Neurospora crassa OR74A: one gene and its partners. The protein of the gene in region 4 purifies or fractionates together with the protein of the main gene of each other region. This does not show direct contact. Links are inferred from orthologs where the notes say so. Each region holds a gene or a part of one and is shown on either strand. Other genes may lie near its edges.

The links.
Region 1: the proteins of NCU01272 (region 4) and ace-4 purify together in Saccharomyces cerevisiae (affinity purification with mass spectrometry, with the first as the bait; 3 studies listed by BioGRID). This does not show direct contact. The link is inferred for Neurospora crassa OR74A from reciprocal best matches to the Saccharomyces cerevisiae genes CYM1 and LAT1.
Region 2: the proteins of NCU01272 (region 4) and NCU02407 purify together in Saccharomyces cerevisiae (affinity purification with mass spectrometry, with the first as the bait; 3 studies listed by BioGRID). This does not show direct contact. The link is inferred for Neurospora crassa OR74A from reciprocal best matches to the Saccharomyces cerevisiae genes CYM1 and LPD1.
Region 3: the proteins of NCU01272 (region 4) and ace-2 purify together in Saccharomyces cerevisiae (affinity purification with mass spectrometry; 3 studies listed by BioGRID). This does not show direct contact. The link is inferred for Neurospora crassa OR74A from reciprocal best matches to the Saccharomyces cerevisiae genes CYM1 and PDA1.

The regions. Positions count from the first base shown.
Region 1 is NC_026504.1:431,419-435,560, reverse strand, and holds ace-4 (pyruvate dehydrogenase complex), read right to left. Parts: upstream 2,836-4,142; 5' UTR 2,324-2,835; coding exon 2,012-2,323; intron 1,707-2,011; coding exon 642-1,706; 3' UTR 44-641; downstream 1-43. UniProt on the Saccharomyces cerevisiae protein: The pyruvate dehydrogenase complex catalyzes the overall conversion of pyruvate to acetyl-CoA and CO(2).
Region 2 is NC_026507.1:2,606,948-2,611,156, reverse strand, and holds NCU02407 (dihydrolipoyl dehydrogenase), read left to right. Parts: upstream 1-1,376; 5' UTR 1,377-1,844; coding exon 1,845-1,903; intron 1,904-1,990; coding exon 1,991-2,043; intron 2,044-2,115; coding exon 2,116-2,195; intron 2,196-2,282; coding exon 2,283-2,987; intron 2,988-3,062; coding exon 3,063-3,680; 3' UTR 3,681-4,120; downstream 4,121-4,209. Other genes in the region: NCU02406 (nuclear protein), read left to right, coding at 1-522.
Region 3 is NC_026503.1:1,563,198-1,567,333, reverse strand, and holds ace-2 (pyruvate dehydrogenase E1 component alpha subunit), read left to right. Parts: upstream 1-1,283; 5' UTR 1,284-1,732; coding exon 1,733-1,885; intron 1,886-2,320; coding exon 2,321-2,454; intron 2,455-2,596; coding exon 2,597-2,964; intron 2,965-3,024; coding exon 3,025-3,111; intron 3,112-3,169; coding exon 3,170-3,681; 3' UTR 3,682-4,123; downstream 4,124-4,136. Other genes in the region: NCU16634 (hypothetical protein), read left to right, coding at 1-305. UniProt on the Saccharomyces cerevisiae protein: The pyruvate dehydrogenase complex catalyzes the overall conversion of pyruvate to acetyl-CoA and CO(2).
Region 4 is NC_026505.1:3,477,373-3,481,672, forward strand, and holds the start of NCU01272 (mitochondrial presequence protease), read right to left. Parts: upstream 2,856-4,300; 5' UTR 2,680-2,855; intron 2,465-2,679; 5' UTR 2,040-2,464; coding exon 1,750-2,039; intron 1,686-1,749; coding exon 1-1,685. Other genes in the region: NCU01273 (beta-taxilin), read left to right, coding at 3,591-3,879, 4,145-4,300. UniProt on the Saccharomyces cerevisiae protein: Degrades mitochondrial transit peptides after their cleavage in the intermembrane space or in the matrix, and presequence peptides; clearance of these peptides is required to keep the presequence processing machinery running.

The DNA of each region.
Region 1 (4,142 bases), on a different chromosome or scaffold from region 4:
GCGGCCGCCGCCCATTATCTTGGCATCACACTTATGATGCCCCCTGGTCAGGACCTTTCCTCGCTTTGCCAAAGCAGAATCTGTCCAAATACTGATATCCAAAATTAAAATTGGTATCCTCAGCCAAGCAGCAGGTTTGCCAAAACATGGCAGCTTCGACCACATATTTGGCTAGAAATGGACAAACAGATTGGGGTGCCATTCCCAAATCCTGTATCCAAAAGTCCTCAAGTTGCCTAACCGATGCCGGGGCTGAACTCAACTCTAACAAACGAAAAAGAAACAAAGATTTCCTGTATTTCCCGCACACCTCATGCTCAAGTTTTTGCTTATAAAAAGTGGGATCGAATCATTATACATATGGTGGTTGAGAGAGAACACAAACATGACACTGAATGGAACCTCCCAAAAGCTTTTGTAGCATCAGCTCGCTTTTTTGTCAACCAACTGACTGACATTGTCATTCCATCACCTCTCTTCCTCCCATCCATTCATCCATCCTTCCAATGCCTGCCCATTTCTATAAAATCTCATGCGCCGGCCTGCCGTGAACTTGGGGCCAAGTGACTGCTATCTAGTTTGCAGTCGCTCGATCCGTATAACTCCACTGAACGTCATCCAAAACAGAGTGCTATTCGCGTTTAAAGGAGGAGCTCGAGAGGGTTCTCAATGACCTTCTTCAACTCGCGGATCCACTCGGCACCGACAGCACCATCGACAACCTTGTGGTCAAAGCTGGCAGTGACGATGATCTGCTCGTCCCAAGAGACACCGGTGGTGCCATCCTCGTTCTCAACGGGGACGGCAACCTTCTGGGGGGCGCCAACGGCAAGGATGGCGGCCTGGGGAGGGTTGATGATGGCGGTGAAGCTCTGGACGGCGGGGTTCATGCCCATGTTGGAGATGGAGATGCTGCCACCCTGGTACTCCTCGGGCTTGAGCTTGCCGTCGCGGGCCTTCTTGGCGAGCTCCTTGACGGCGGCCGAGATGCTCTCGAGACCCTTGCCCTCGACACCCTTGACAATGGGGGTGATGAGGCCGTTGGGGGTGGCGACGGCAACGGAAACGTCGACGGTCTCGAACTGGCGGATGACACCGTCGCGCCACGAGCTGTTGACGGTAGGGACGCGCTTGGAAGCAATACCCATGGCCTTGATGAGGAAGTCGTTGACCGAAAGCTTGTAGCGGCCATCAGCAGAGCTGTTGAGCGCCTGGCGGAGCTTGAGAAGCTTGCTGACGGAGAGGTTGGTGGAAACGAAGAAGTGGGGGTTCTCCGTGACAGACTCCTTCAAGCGGGCGGCAATAGTCTTGCGCATGCCAGAGATGGGGACATCAGTGTAGGCAGCGGCGGCGGCACCGGCAGCGGGAGCGCTAGCAAGAGCCTTCTTGACATCCTCCTCAGTGATCTTGCCACCGGGACCAGAGCCCTTGACGTTGCGCAGGTCGATGCCCTTCTCGCGAGCGAGTCTCTTGGCAGCGGGGAGAGCGTTGGGCTCGCGCTCGAGGGCAGTCTGGAAGCGGCCGGTGAAGCTAGTGTTCTCGGGCTCGGGAGCGGGAGTAGGAGCGGGGGTCGGAGCGCTGGCGGTGCTCTCGTTCTTGGGCTCATCCTTGGGGACAGCGGGGGAGGTCTCGCCGCCGGCATCCTTGAGGGTGAAGTCCTTGAAGGCGTTGACGTCGGTGCCCTCCTCGACGAGAATGGCAATGGGCTAGAGAAGGAGGAAGAAGCATGGTCAGCATGGGTCGTCTGTCTACATTAGGCGCGCACAAGCTAAGGCGACGCGGGGCGTGTAGACGCTCAACGGCACCATGACATATCACCCGACAGGCGAGACACAGGGCACGAGGCGCGCACGAGGCATAAAGGAAGAAGAGTGGATTCAGGGTCGAGTGGGGAAGAGGGTCGGGATGGGAGGAGATGTGCATGGAGTCATGGAGTTGGAGTAGGTAGGGCTGGAGTGTTTGGCAGGTATGATGACTCGTGGCTCGACAGGTAGTGTAGGTAGGTACTTACGTTGCCAACGGCGACGTCCTTCTCGCCCGAGTCCTTGAGGATCTTGGCGAGGACACCCTCCTCCTGGAACTCAAAGTCCATCTGGGCCTTGTCGGTCTCGATCTCGACGAGCACCTCACCGGGCTCGATCTTGTCACCGGGCTTCTTCTGCCATGCGCCAATACCGCCCGAGGTCATGGTGGGCGAGAGGGCGGGCATCTTGACGACGGTGTGAGGGGGGTACGAGGCGTACCATCTTGTGAGGCTGGGGAGGGCGACACGGGCGACGCTGGCATGGCGGAGAGCCTGCCTTGAGAGGACGGGGACGATCATGGTGAGAGGGTGTGATGTGAAGGTTGGGTGGTTGTGGTGGTGTTTTTTTTGAGAGAGGAGGTTGTGTTCAATTTGCTAGTATGGAATGTTTATGTGGGGATTCCAAACCAAGCTGGAGGAGCAGCACTCAGCAGCAGTGGCAGCGGCGGCAGGACCTTGGAGAGGGGAAAGGCCGACCGGGGGGGAGGGGGGCAGAGGGACGCGGGTTGGAGAAGCTGGCTTGTGCGGAGGGAGGCCGGGATGTCTGATTGATGGACGCGGATTCGCAGTAGGGCCAAGCCTGGAGGTGTAAGTCGTCGACTGCGCGAGTCAGGTTGATGCGGAAAAAGAGTGGAAAAAGAACGGGAAGATTGCAGGTTTGGAAAGATGGAAGACTGCGCGAGATGAGATTCGACCTGAATGACGGATTCGTCGTGGAGAGCACAACAGGAAGATGACAGCGGGCAGCGGCGGGATACGGAGCCGGACTTCAATCGGCGACACTCGTGAACTTTTTTTTTTTTTTTTTTTTTCCCTCTCTCTCCACTGCGGCGGTGGCATCACACTTTCTCACTTCCCGTCACCAACCACACTCACCACACTCACTGCCCGCCTTGTGTCCCCTCAGCTCCTTGCTCTCTGCCCCCCTGCGATTTCTCCCAACAGTTGGGGGAAGCTCCCCCCAGCAGTTCCAGCGTAAGCAGAGCCCCCGCCGAGCCAAGGCCAGGCTATTTCAGGGCTAGCACGGCCTCGCAGCTGCCCGGTGCCCAAAGACAGCAGGAGGCCAAGCTTTGAGAATCCCCCGGTCGCGCAACGGGGAGTAAATGACGCTAAGCCTAATGGGGGCAGATGGATGATTGATTACTTGATAAGAGAGGTTGCAATCACGAACTGGAATTGTCAAGCTAACCTAGCTTTGGAGCAGTGATATCTTGTTTGAATATCTATATGTATGAGCAGCGCGCATGGAGGTGCTATCTGTATTTGCGAGTTATGAAGACCTGAATATCAAGTAACCTTATGGACCAAAGTGAGATGCGGACTTCAACAGTTCTCCGATGAACAACCTCGAGAGAGATGAAGTGCTGACAGGGACATCGGACTGGCAGCTGCACGGATCCATAACAGTTCGCGCTAAGGTACGGATTACGTTCTGCGGGCCGATCGGAGGATTTGATTGCGATGGAAACCGTCAACTCCAAGAGGATTGGACTCTGCAGTGTCAGTGATGTCAAACTAAGGGACCCGATCCATGAGAGATGCTGCAGAATGGCATATAATGACAAAATTGGACTGGTGATGACATTTCAGTTTTCGTATGTACAAGCAATCAGGAGCAGCTAACAACGGTCTCTCGTCATCAGTCATATTCCCAACCTCTGAAGAGCTTCGTATCCGAGTTGCCCTGAGATCGTGTTGTAGAAGCTGAAAAGGCACACGACTTGGTTATTGATTAAACTTCCCACGAGGTATTCATACCATCAAGACTCCAAGCCTATGGTAGTAACACAAGTTACAGTTTGGCTTCCCTCCGATGGATGTGAAATACGCCGTGTCATGGATCACCGGTGTCCAATATGTCCAAAGACAACTGATACGCAAAAGAGATGGGATCCATATCTACAATGGAAGACGGGATTGAATGGCTATCATCGGATTCTTCAAAAGCTGACGCCGGCGGCGGGCTACCAATGAACAGACCAATTACTGACCCATGCGTCAAAAAGAGTATCCACGGCTGCAGTTCCGGCAGGCAAAGCGGCTGGCAGATAGATTGATACGTACGGAGATAAAGTGAGAGGTACGTAGGTACGTGTAGGTACCTGATGGAAGAGGAAGG
Region 2 (4,209 bases), on a different chromosome or scaffold from region 4:
TTGGTGGCCAAGAAGCTTTGCGGGGATCGCAAAATCCGGTGGTCGTTCCAAGACGCGCTCTGGAAGCTATTCAGGCGTCTCGGAGAGTCAGTTTTTGGCGATGACGCGGAGGATGAGGAGGATGTAGATGCGATGGACATGCGGCGGCTTGTCAACATTGCAAAACTGTTTGGGGCCATGGTGGCAGGTGGATCGCTAGGATTGGCAATTCTGAAATGCCTCAATTTGCCTTATCTACAAACCAAGACGCGGGCGCTAGTGGAGATCCTGCTGATTACTGTGCTTCTTGAAGCCGGAAAAGGCGGCGACAAGGATCGGGATGAGACGATTACTTCGGTGTTTGTGGCTGTGGAAGGGGTCCCCGAGCTTGCCAGAGGCCTGCAATGGTTCATCAAGAAGGTGGTCCGGAAGTCGGATCTCGCGGGAGGGGCGGCCAACACCAAGCTCGTCAAGGAGGGTTGCAAGACGGCCATGGCGGCCTTGGAGCATGCGCTGCTCGCCGCCGAAGGCTTGGTGGAATAATTTTGCTTTGTTGGATACCTGTATATGGATCGGATATCTTCGGGAATAGCAACATAATGATCAGGGATACAAGTGTGCCGGGGTCTATACAAAAGGCCATTGACCAATATCATGACAAGTTCATGGAACTAACCCAAGCATTCTCGCTCGAATGTAGTTACCTACTTTGTAGATATTAGCGTTGACGGCGGGACTGGAAAAGTTGGGGGTAGCTTTAAGTTGGGGAACTTGTTGTCAGGAAGGGCGATTTGCTACTAGGGATCCAGGGAGCAACCGACTCGAGTGTGCGGGAGCCCGGAAATATAGTGGTCTGTGAATAGCACTCAATGATGTCATTTCGTCTTGCAACGAAGGGACAGGGTTTCATGAGGGTCGGGCGGGACTCTTGATTGTGGACATGAAGAGGAGGCAGATGGTTTGAGATGAATTGCCTGCCATGTGTCATGTCGTTCGACAAACAACTAACCTCTAAGACGGGTTAGGGACAGGTTATGCTTCTCCAATTCGGCAGCTGGGCAAGCTGGGGTTATTTGGCGTTGACGGGCGGAGTAAAGAGGGGAGCAAAGAGGGGATCGCGCCAAGGAGCAAGATGAATGTCAAACACAACCTAAGCTGTCAGAAAAATGGCTACAATACATAGCGGGAGTGCAGAGATGTCAAAATTTTGGAGTCAGCTGCTGCACGCCAAGTTCGTCTTGACCAATCACAGGACGCAATGGAGCGTACCTAGTACCGTACGTATTTGGGGACGGGTTTCTTCGACGAAGCAGTCAGGGCAGCAGCGACAGTAAAGTAAGACGGCGAAGAGCGCGCTGCCCGTCCCGCCTAACACTGGCATCATAGTACTTTTACTTCCTGTAGCACACTACCTCTACACTACTAACACGATCAGGCAGTACCTACCTACCTATTTAGTGTAGCGTACGCGAGATTAGAGGTACCTACTACCTACCTAGGTAGTGGTGTTCCTACTCCGCTCCGTTCGTACCTACCTCTACCTACTCCGCTCTGCGCTGTCTCGAGCGGGCCAGCTTGGGGACGGGCACGGTGGAAAGCGGGTGCCCTTTGAGCGATGTGAGCCTCTGACGGGCTGGCAACCCGAACAAGTGGGACTGGACATTTTTCGCTTGCCGTGAATAGCTTCCGCCTCGAATCCCAACAATTGTCTCTCCCGCGGCGTTTTGCAGTTCAGTACACACTTTCGACGTCTCACCATCGAATCGCATTCCCTGCTTCCCCGGGCATCTCTCTGCAGTGCGCTCGTTCCTTCGAATTTTCCCTGTTTCCATTTCTGGTTTTTCCATTCAGCACATACTTTCACCATGCTGTCCCAAAGATTAATAGGCCGTGCTGCCGTCCGGTCCGCCTTCAAGCCCTCGGGGTAAGCTCACTGTCCCGGTTGCCGGCGGATGCCCGACACACTGTTTTCTCATGCGCGTACTGAGGCTGACCTGACGACCACATACAGGCTCCCTGTCGTCGTTTCTCCCAGGTTGAGGAGGACCTATGCGACCGAGTCTGGTCTGTTTGCCAACATCAAGAGCTGGTTCTCGTCAAAGGATTCTGGTCGGCTGACTGTTGATGTGCCCGTAGAGGAGAAGGATCTCGTCATCATTGGAGGTGGCGTCGCTGGCTATGTTGCTGCCATCAAGGCCGGCCAGGAGGGTCTCAAGGTGCGTCGCATCGCGAATCAACTACACCGCAACACCGACGAATGACGACAATATCTGACTGCTATCTCCCATGTTGCCTGGAAATAGGTCGCCTGTATCGAGAAGCGCGGCACCCTCGGCGGTACCTGCCTGAACGTCGGCTGCATTCCCTCCAAGTCGCTCCTCAACAACTCCCATCTCTACCATCAGATCCTCCACGACTCGAAACACCGCGGCATCGAGGTCGGCGATGTCAAGCTCAACCTCGCCCAGCTTATGAAGGCCAAGGAACAGTCCGTCAGCGGTCTTACCAAAGGTGTCGAGTTCCTCCTGAAGAAGAACGGCGTCGAGTACATCAAGGGTGCTGGCGCCTTCGCCGATGAGCACACCATCAACGTCAAGCTCAACGACGGCGGCGAGACCTCCGTCAAGGGCAAGAACATCCTTATCGCCACTGGCTCCGAGGTCACCCCCTTCCCCGGCCTCGAAATCGACGAGAAGCGCGTCATCAGCAGCACTGGCGCCATTGCTCTTGAGAAGGTCCCGGAGAAGATGCTCGTCATCGGTGGTGGCATCATTGGTCTCGAAATGGCTTCTGTCTGGTCCCGTCTCGGCGCCCAGGTCACCGTCATCGAGTTTCTCGACCAGATTGGCGGCCCCGGCATGGACCTTGAGGTTGCCAAGTCCATCCAGAAGATCCTGAAGAAGCAGGGCATCAACTTCAAGACCGGCACCAAGGTCGTTTCCGGTGACAAGACTGGCGAGACCGTCAAGCTCGAGGTCGACTCCGCCAAGGGTGGCAAGCCCGAGACTGTGAGTGGCCCATGATACCCTGCAGGCTATCTGTTCGTTGTCGTGATCTTCAAAGCTGACATTGTTCGAACACAGCTCGAGGGTGACGTTGTTCTTGTCGCTATTGGCCGCCGTCCCTACACCGAGGGTCTCGGCCTTGAGAACATTGGACTCGAGAAGGATGAGCGCGGCCGTGTCATCATCGACTCCGAGTACCGCACCAAGATCCCCCACATTCGCTGCGTTGGTGATGTCACCTTCGGCCCCATGCTTGCTCACAAGGCTGAGGAGGAGGCTGTTGCTGTCGTCGAGTACATCAAGAAGGGTTACGGCCATGTCAACTACGGCTGCATTCCTTCGGTCATGTACACCTTCCCCGAGGTTGCCTGGGTTGGCCAGTCCGAGCAGGAACTCAAGAAGGCTGGTGTTCCCTACCGCGTCGGTACCTTCCCCTTCAGCGCCAACTCCCGTGCCAAGACCAACCTTGACACTGAGGGCATGGTGAAGATGATCGCCGACCCCGAGACCGACCGGATTCTCGGTGTCCACATCATCGGTCCTAACGCCGGTGAGATGATTGCTGAGGGTACCCTTGCCCTCGAGTATGGCGCTTCCAGCGAGGATATTGCCCGCACCTGCCACGCTCACCCTACCCTCGCCGAGGCTTTCAAGGAGGCGGCCATGGCCACTCACTCAAAGGCCATCCACTTCTAAGCAGCTGGAGCGTTTTGGCGTTGAATGGCTCTAAGCACGGAAAAATGTGCTGTCTGGATTTCTAGCATTGGGAGTATGGAAAGAGGATGGGAGGAGGTGTGTACTTGTACTGTAGTCACGGGCTTTCCCTCGAGGGTTTAATAGGGGATTTTCACATGACATGCTAAATAGACGCCGCTTGTTGGTTGGACTAGGGCTATTTGGCCTTGCGGGTCCTGGTTGGGCTCGAGACTCGATGAATACACGAGATTTTAAGAGATACAGAAAAGCTACCTTGGTTGCCAGATGGGATGGCAGGAAGGCTGCTGGTTATTTTATGTTAACATTGCCGAGTTATCAGAGGGCTGTGGGTTTTGGATGATTCTTGTCTGTTCTCCATGCTGGTGCAATTACTTCTTAGTCCGAGTAGCAGTGCCCATCAATGCCGGTCTTCAACTTCGTTCTGGTGTTAATGTGTATTCTCGTGTACAGGGCATGTTGCTTGGCATGACGTTATTTGTTTGATAAGCCATCGCTCAGGGACCCTAAC
Region 3 (4,136 bases), on a different chromosome or scaffold from region 4:
GGAGAGAGTCCATCAAGAAGCGGATGAGCAACTCGGCATTGGATGTGGTCACGGTACAAATACACTTCGTTCAGGAACTCTACACTACTATATTGCGAGACACTGTACTACACTACGGCAACCGGGACTATGAAAGACATACACATGCCATCGGTCCACAATGCCTTATATCTTATACCTGTTTTGCATTTGTTCACTCCCTCAACGTATGCATATCGTATGTTTTATCCCAAGATAGGATACTAAACCCACTTGTCTATAAATACCCGGGGGAAGAGGACGGGAGACTTGTAGCGATAGGTTAATGGCAGATATCCTCGATGGTTTGTCTTATGCTGGGCTTTATGCTTTTGTGGTTATGTTGTCTGTCATCAGGACGGTTGTGATACTTTTCTTGTTGATAATGTTCATAATGAAGATATCGCCGAATTGGATTAAAAGTGCCCTTGCCCTATATACGCAGAATCCTTCAAGGCCATGTTCGGTCAGATGTTGATTACGGTTACCTGCATGCCACGCCTGTCGTCTAAACTGTAGTGGTAAGAAAACTGATAAGCAATTATTCCCGATCGAGGTTAGGTAGGGTTCGTGAGGCAAGTGGAAAGCGGCGGCTGTTGGGTGGGGCATTCCGGAATGTCAAACTCCATTTTTGATGGGGTTCACAATGGAGTCGATGGGATGGCGGCATAGTACTGAGTGCCGCCCGCTGTGATAACTGGTCATAGTGGTGACGGTGGTGGTGGTGTCTTTGGAAGCGAACAAGGAGAAGGACGAAAACGAACAAGAGCGAGTCTTTCATTCAGTTCACCTCGTCCGTGACGAAATCATCGAGACCCTTGGCTGTACAACTCGTGGGCGGCAAACGAGGGTCTTATATAATTTGTCATGGAGGTAAGCTCGAATGGAGATCTCCAACAAACTTTCCTTCCCCCACCTGATCCATGCAATGCCAAACTCAGTTAGCGCGTGCTACCCAAGCTTCTGCCTCTGCTCAACACTCGTTCGCCTCGCCCCTCTGACTGTGGACTTTTTTTTTTTGGACGTTCCTTGCCCCTTCCCCTCCATTCTCCTCCAAAAGCTCATGGACCGCGACGGGGAGATCCATAATAATTTTTTCTGACAGCCCTGACAGCGTCAAAACGAGCTCCGGAGAACGGCCGGCATACCGGTACACGTACCGTTTGTGGGAGTTTCCTATCGCGTTAGTACCTGCCCGCCTTGACAAGCTTTTCTAGTAGCAGTGGACAGAGAGCTCTTGTAACTCTGTAAGGTAGGTAAGTAAGCAGTGACAGTACACCTAGCTGGGGGATCTCCATGCCAGAAAAAAAAATCCCCCGGGCCACAGCGTAACACACATATCCGACGATACCCTATCCGTGCTGGTGCCCTGTCTGTGAGCGCCGCCCGGCGTATCTCCAATTGAAGAGTTCGTTCCCTGACGTGCTGCGCCTGCTAGGTGCTGCACACCTGCCCTGGCTGCCCGCACCCAGTCCTGCCGTACCGGGCGCCCTGGCTCGCCTACCTACCCCATCGGAGCCCATCAATTCGCGACCCTTCCACACTCCCGTCCCAAGGATTTTCAGTTTGCCAGTTTGCTTTTGCTCGTCGACTCGTCCTTCATTCTCGTCCTCTCTCCGCTTCCACTCCTGTCGTCATCCACCCCCCCAAACTCTTTCAATCTCTCAGCTGCCATCGTATTTCCCAGCGAGACGAGAGAGACAGATAATCCAGAATGTTTTCTCGCGCAGCCCGGTTATCGACGAGGGTAGCGGCGCCCGTCCGCGCCCGCGTTGCTGCTCCCCGTGTCGTTATTCCCTCGATCGCCGCTAGGAGGTCCGTCACCACCAATGCTGCTTCGGCCCAGCTCGAGAAGCCCCTCCCAGAGGTACGTTTGTTTACTGTTGATGTCGGGATGTCGTTCGAAGTGGGTTTCGATGGTGGTATTGTGTGTGTTGGAGAAACAAAAGAAGACTGGAGGGAGGGAGAGACTCCCTAGTCATGTCCCCTCCCCGAGTCCCCCAAGCAACGCTCGTCGCGAGTCAAGCAAGTCATGTCCCATGCGAGTCTGTCTACCTTACCGCTTGCTGCCGGACCCGCCGGACCCGCCTTGATTCTCTTGACGTCAAGTCAATAGAAAACACCAGATGAACACCGTTTGTTTTGGTGGTTTCGAAACATATCATGTCGTCGCCGTCGTTGTCGTCGTTGGGGGCTGGGTTGTGCAGATTTTTGCGCGCAATCCAAAGACTGTTACTTGTCGCTACTACAACTACTCCTGGGAACGTCGATAAGCTTACCATGCAATTTTGCTTCAATCTAGTCGGAGACCGAGCCCTTCCAGGTCACCCTCAGCGATGAGAGCTTCGAGACCTACGAGCTCGACCCCCCTCCCTACACCCTCAATGTCACCAAGAAGGAGCTGAAGCAGATGTACTACGACATGGTCGTCGTCAGGTATGCAAAGACTACAATCCCCCTTGTCCTCACCGGGGGGCTCTAAGCTTCCCCCCTCCTATCTCTGCCGATCTCGGCCTGGAGGATCAACATGGCTTCACCACATAGCATATAGCTAACACATTGCTCTCTCTGCATATAGACAAATGGAGATGGCCGCCGACAGACTGTACAAGGAGAAGAAGATTCGTGGTTTCTGCCATTTGTCCGTTGGTCAGGAGGCTGTCGCCGTCGGTATCGAGCATGCGATCGAGAGAGCTGACGACGTCATCACCTCGTACCGTTGCCACGGCTTCGCCTACATGCGCGGCGGTACCGTTCGCTCCATCATTGGCGAGCTTCTCGGTCGCCGTGGCGGTATTGCCTACGGCAAGGGTGGTTCCATGCACATGTTCACCAAGGGCTTCTACGGCGGTAACGGTATCGTCGGTGCGCAGGTCGCCGTCGGTGCTGGTCTTGCTTTCGCCCACAAGTACACTGGCCGCAAGAACGCTTCCATCATCCTCTACGGTAAGCCTTTTCTTGGTGGGAACAACGTTGGGGGTTCGGAAGGCTAATACATTGTTATAGGTGATGGTGCCAGCAACCAGGGTCAGGTCTTTGAGTCTTTCAACATGGCCAAGCTCTGGAACCTCCCTGCCCTTTTCGGCTGCGAGAGTAAGTAGCCCAGGTTTCATGGTCTTAGATACTCTTACTGACATGTATGATGGTGCAGACAACAAGTATGGTATGGGTACCTCTGCCGCCCGCTCGTCGGCCTTGACCGACTACTACAAGCGTGGCCAGTACATCCCCGGTCTCAAGGTCAACGGCATGGACGTCCTTGCCGTCAAGGCTGCCGTCGCGTACGGTAAGCAGTGGACCAACAACGACAACGGCCCTCTCGTGCTCGAGTACGTCACCTACCGCTATGGTGGTCACTCCATGTCCGACCCCGGCACCACCTACCGTACCCGTGAGGAGATCCAGCGCATGCGCTCCACCAACGACCCTATTGCCGGCCTCAAGCAGCACATTCTCGAGTGGGGTGTTGCCTCGGAGGAGGAGCTCAAGAACCTCGACAAGGAGGCTCGCGCCTACGTCAACGAGGAGGTTGCCGCCGCCGAGGCCATGCCTCCTCCGGAGGCCAACCAGCAGATTCTGTTTGAGGACATCTACGTCAAGGGTACCGAGCCCGACTTCATCCGTGGCCGTACCCCTGATGAGCTTTTCTACTTCAAGCACTAAAAAAGTTAAAATTGAGTAGAGAGGCAGAAGTAATGACAAACTAGATGGGTTTTTTCAAGTTACAACCAAGAAACTTGTCCTTTCCTCTGATGCATATCACAAAACCAAAAATGGTGCTGGCGTCTTTTATCTACGTCGGCCATCATGGACGGTCGTCACTTCTTCTTTCCATTTTCCTTGTATAATAAAACATTTCTGCGTAGCGCAAAACAGTCACAAACACAACCACACACACAAACACATATATATATATATATATCTAGACAGGTTTTAGGGGAAAGGGATGGGGAAAGGGAAGGCGGGTTATGAAATTGATAAGCTTTCAAGATAGCTGTCTTGTTATGATGCAACAGCTGAATGACTGGGCTTGTGAGATGAGGTCCGATATCGTATCGCAGCCTGCCCCTCCCTGCCCAGCCTCGAATTGCCAGCCCTGTCTGTCGTATCAAATCGGG
Region 4 (4,300 bases):
TCAGACCTTCTGTGGCCCGAGTGAAGTCAGTTGGATGAGAAGCCGAATGGTAGCCGACCGAGACACCTCCAGTTTTGAGCTTGATCAAATCCTCAAGCTGCTCCATTGTCATGTCCTTCGTACCCAAACGCATGATGGAGTCAGTGAAGAGGGGGATCAGGCTTCGGAGCTCATCGGGCAGGTTCTCCAGCTGATTGATAGCACGGAAGTAGGTCAGCCCGTTCGTGGGAGCCTCGTGCCACTGTGTCTTGACTCTTGCTGTGTTATCGTGTCTCAAGATAACCGAGTCCTTCTGGCGGGGAATGTCCTTGACATGCACGCTAGGAAGGCAGCCAAGATCTTCGGTGTTGGTCTTGCTTTGCTCGGCCAACAATTTGAGTTCCCGAGCTTCGAGAGCAGCACGAGCTTCCTCTTCGCTACCAGCAGCTTTGACAACTTCCGAAATCTTGGTGCTTAAGCGAGTTTCCTCCTCTTGGGCCAGCTCCTGGCTAAAGGTTGGCGAAGGCGCCATCGTGAAGGAGAGAGTATTGTCGTTGATCAGATACTTATCAATCAAGCCCTCAAGATAACCACCTTTGGCAAGCTCGGTCTCAAAAGCAGCAATCGTGTCGTTCCAGGCAAGAGAGTCAAATGGATCGACTCCAACAAACCACTTTGGCTTCAAACGGTGGAGCAAAGACATGCCAAAGTTGGCAGTCTTGTGCTTAAGGCCGAGCTCAAGCTGGTGGAGATAGCCATCAATCTTTGATCTCTCAAAACCCTTGTCCCGCATGCTGCGAAGAATCTCCTGTACCTTGGCCTTGACCTTGGGCACATCTTCTTCTTGAACACCGCTGAGGCCAATGGAGAAGATACCAAGCTTGCCCGAACTGTCATATCCGGTGTTGGGGCTCCAGTCCGTTCCTAGCCCGGATTCAATCAATCCCTTGTAGAGAGGCGAGCCATAACCATCCATGAGCAGAGCAGAAATCAGCGCCAGCGAAAAGGACTCGACGACATTGTTGGTTTCACCCAGAACCCACGAAACGGAAGTCTTGAACTGCTTATTGGCGTCCACAAGGGGGTCAATAGGTCCATAGAGCTTGACTTCCCTGGGGCCACTGCTGAGGTCGATAGGGCTATGGTGTGCCACATCAGCCCGGATCTTCTCAAATACGTCGAGCTGGGCACCGATTTCCTTCAAGTGATCTGCCAGTGGCATATCGCCATAAGTAAAGACTTTGGCGTTGCTCGGGTGGTAGTGATCAGCATGGAACTTCTTGAGCTGTTGGTATGTCAAGTCTGTGATTTTCTGGGGATCACCACCAGAGTTGTGGATGTCTGGGAAAATGTGGTCTTGGAACCGAATCCAGAAGAGGTAGGCAGCATCCGACATCTGCCCCTTCATCTCGTTATAAACGACACCCTTGAAGACAAGCTTCCTGTCCTCGGGCTTTGCGTTGCCCTCAGCCGCAACAAGAGCCTGGGGATTCTCGGGTCCAATACGCCATCCTTCCTGTGTAAAGTCCGTCTCCTTCAAGAGAGGATGCAGAGTCGCGTCAAGGTAGACAGACATGAGGTTCTTAAAGTCCTGAGCATTGGTGGTGGCGAACGGGTAAAAGGTGTGATCTGATGCTGTAAAGGCGTTCATGAAATTCGAAAGCGTTCGCGGAAGCATCTTGAAGAAGGGGTCTCGGATAGGGTATCTGAAGGAGATTTCATGTCAGCGTGGATAGCCCAACCAATGATCCGCTGTTCGAGTTCGCATACTTTTGGCTGCCACACAGAGTGGTGTGCTCCAGGATATGTGGGACACCGGTGTCGTCCGGGGGATTCGTTTTGAAGCCGATAGAGAAGACATTGTTGCTGTCGTCACGGGCAATGTGCAAATGCTCTGCTCCGGTCTTGTCGTGTTGCAAGTGCAAAGCAGTCAACTCCAGCTCCGGGACATGCTTTGACCGGAGAAGGGTGAAGCCGTGGAGTTTCTCGCCGGGTTTCGGGTACTGGGAGAGCTCGGTGACGGCGCGGCGCGCTGCACCTTTGGTCGCGTTGCGCAGCATCGTTCTGGCAGCAGTAGAGAAAACCCGAGTGCTGGCAGAAATCCTTGGCACTATGCAAGACGACTGGAAATGGCGATGGTGATGGTGGTGGTGACGGTACTACTTGAGGCGTCCGGTTTTGGCGGCAGTTGGAACGGGAGCTGACGCGGAGCTAGGCCTGCCTGCCACAGCGGCAGTGGGTACCTCAGGTGGTGACTGACTGTCCCGCCCCCGCCGTCTGTCGCCCCTCAGCCCACACCCACCCCTCCTGCCCGCCTCCAAAGGAATCAAGTGGAAAAGGAAGCCTGCCCCTGGTGGAAAACCTGCAACTGAACCGTGCTTCGGCAGAGTCGGGAATAGTGGGGCCGAGGCGACGACGGGCGCTGGAGGCTGCACCTGCGCACGAGGAGGCTAGCTCTCTAGGTAGTGGTCTTGAATCATCCAACCTAATGAGTAGCCGTGCCTCAAAAGAGCAAAGTTGTTAATGAGGTACCTCAGAGCATGATTTGTCAGCGCTTCATTCCCACACTAAAGACACTGCGATAAGTACTGTTCTATCTGTTTGTAACCTCGAGGGACATTTTCACACGTACAGATAAAGGAAGTTGCCTCTGGAAGGGAGAGGTAAGCCTTAGTTGCACTATAAGCTCATGAGAATTACTTGTATTTACTTAACTGATCATAGGTATGGACTCTTTGCAACAATATAGTTTGGCCCCATCATGAGTGTTCGGAAAAGCAAACAAGTCATGTGTCTGAATGTTGAACTTTGGATGTCAACAGTAAGAGCGGCAATCGGCATCTGACGAATGTGAGATGAAGTATGTGAGCAGCATGTTAGTACACTATCCAAGACATATTGTTCATGCGAGGTCGATGCACGGCGGGCCACGGATGAAATCATGATGAAAACGCCGTCTGGTTCCTCGAAGTCGAGGACTTAGATCATGAAATTCCCCACAAAACATCAGGAGTATGTAAGTGCCGTCGATGACAACCAGAGGAAACATGCCTCCAACAGTGAGTAATAAGAGCACAGGTATCTAGAGGTACTTATTATCCATGCAGAAGGTAGTGGGCAAGAAGAATTGTGGAAAGTAGCAGCCATGAAGGGACGGCGGGAGCACTGTTTCTACTCAGATTTATAGTCCGTGCTGGGGCCCCGGAGACCGAGAGCAGGTACCTGCCGCCTGTTGAAACGCAGCGGAACCTGTCATCCAATTCGCGCGCCCCATCAGATTAACCGACGCCATAGCGATCTGGTCGTCCTTTCCCATACATCAAAGTCTTCCGCAGCCATTATCTTGACGACTGCTGCCGTCACGGCCGCCCGAATACACAACGACTCGATTACACAACTTCCACACCACAGCGCATACAGTTTTCCTATTGTGCGCGCTCAACACCACCATACTCTGACGACGACGACGGCTAAGCGGCAAGGCTAGCAGTAACGCACCACTGCCGTGCACACGCAAGCCTTTTGCAACTGACATCTCGTTGACATTGCCAGTCGGAGGGGCCACTGCCGACCACACGCCTGTTTCCGGCATCAAGGCCAGTCCCACGACAATGTCAAGCGCCAATCCTCCAGCCACTGCAACTTCCGGCCCTCGACCTGCGACACCCATGAGCAATGGATCGGCAAACCATCCGGTCGACCCCCCTCCTGCCACGAATGGCCACCCGAACCACGCTCACGAGACCCGGCCGGCTCCTGCGCCCCCCGCAAACATGGTGGGCAAAAAGGGCAAACCGAAAAAGGCTCCCGAGCCGAACGAGGCCAGTAAGCTCATTGCTGCTAGAATCACACAACTGGAGCAAGATGCCGCTGGTGAAAAGGACCAGGAGGCCGAAATAGGTGCGTGTTTGTCCTTACAACCTGCTGGGCGCTTGAGAGGGCAATGGCGGATGTTATGGGATCGAAAAGGGGGGGACGGAAGGCTCAGAAACACTCGACAGTCGTTGACCGAACCTCCTCAGTCAACCTTTGCTGCATGTCTTCAGACCACCCTCCAGTCTCGATTGGGATGTAGACGGGTTGAATCAAGACAGAGGAGTTTTGTCAAGGCGGGCGATATTGGCTTCGGATGAAAGAGAAGGCGCTGACAGCAAGCCGTGCGCAGAACGAGAGGTCAAGAAAGCTAGTAGGGAGCTACACAGCCAGACCTCGCGGATGAACGACCTCCAAAAGATTGATCATCTGACCAAACGCTGTGCGGACTTGCTGGCGGAGATGAAGAGGCTCGAACGTGAAAGCATCAAAAACAAAAAACGAGGCG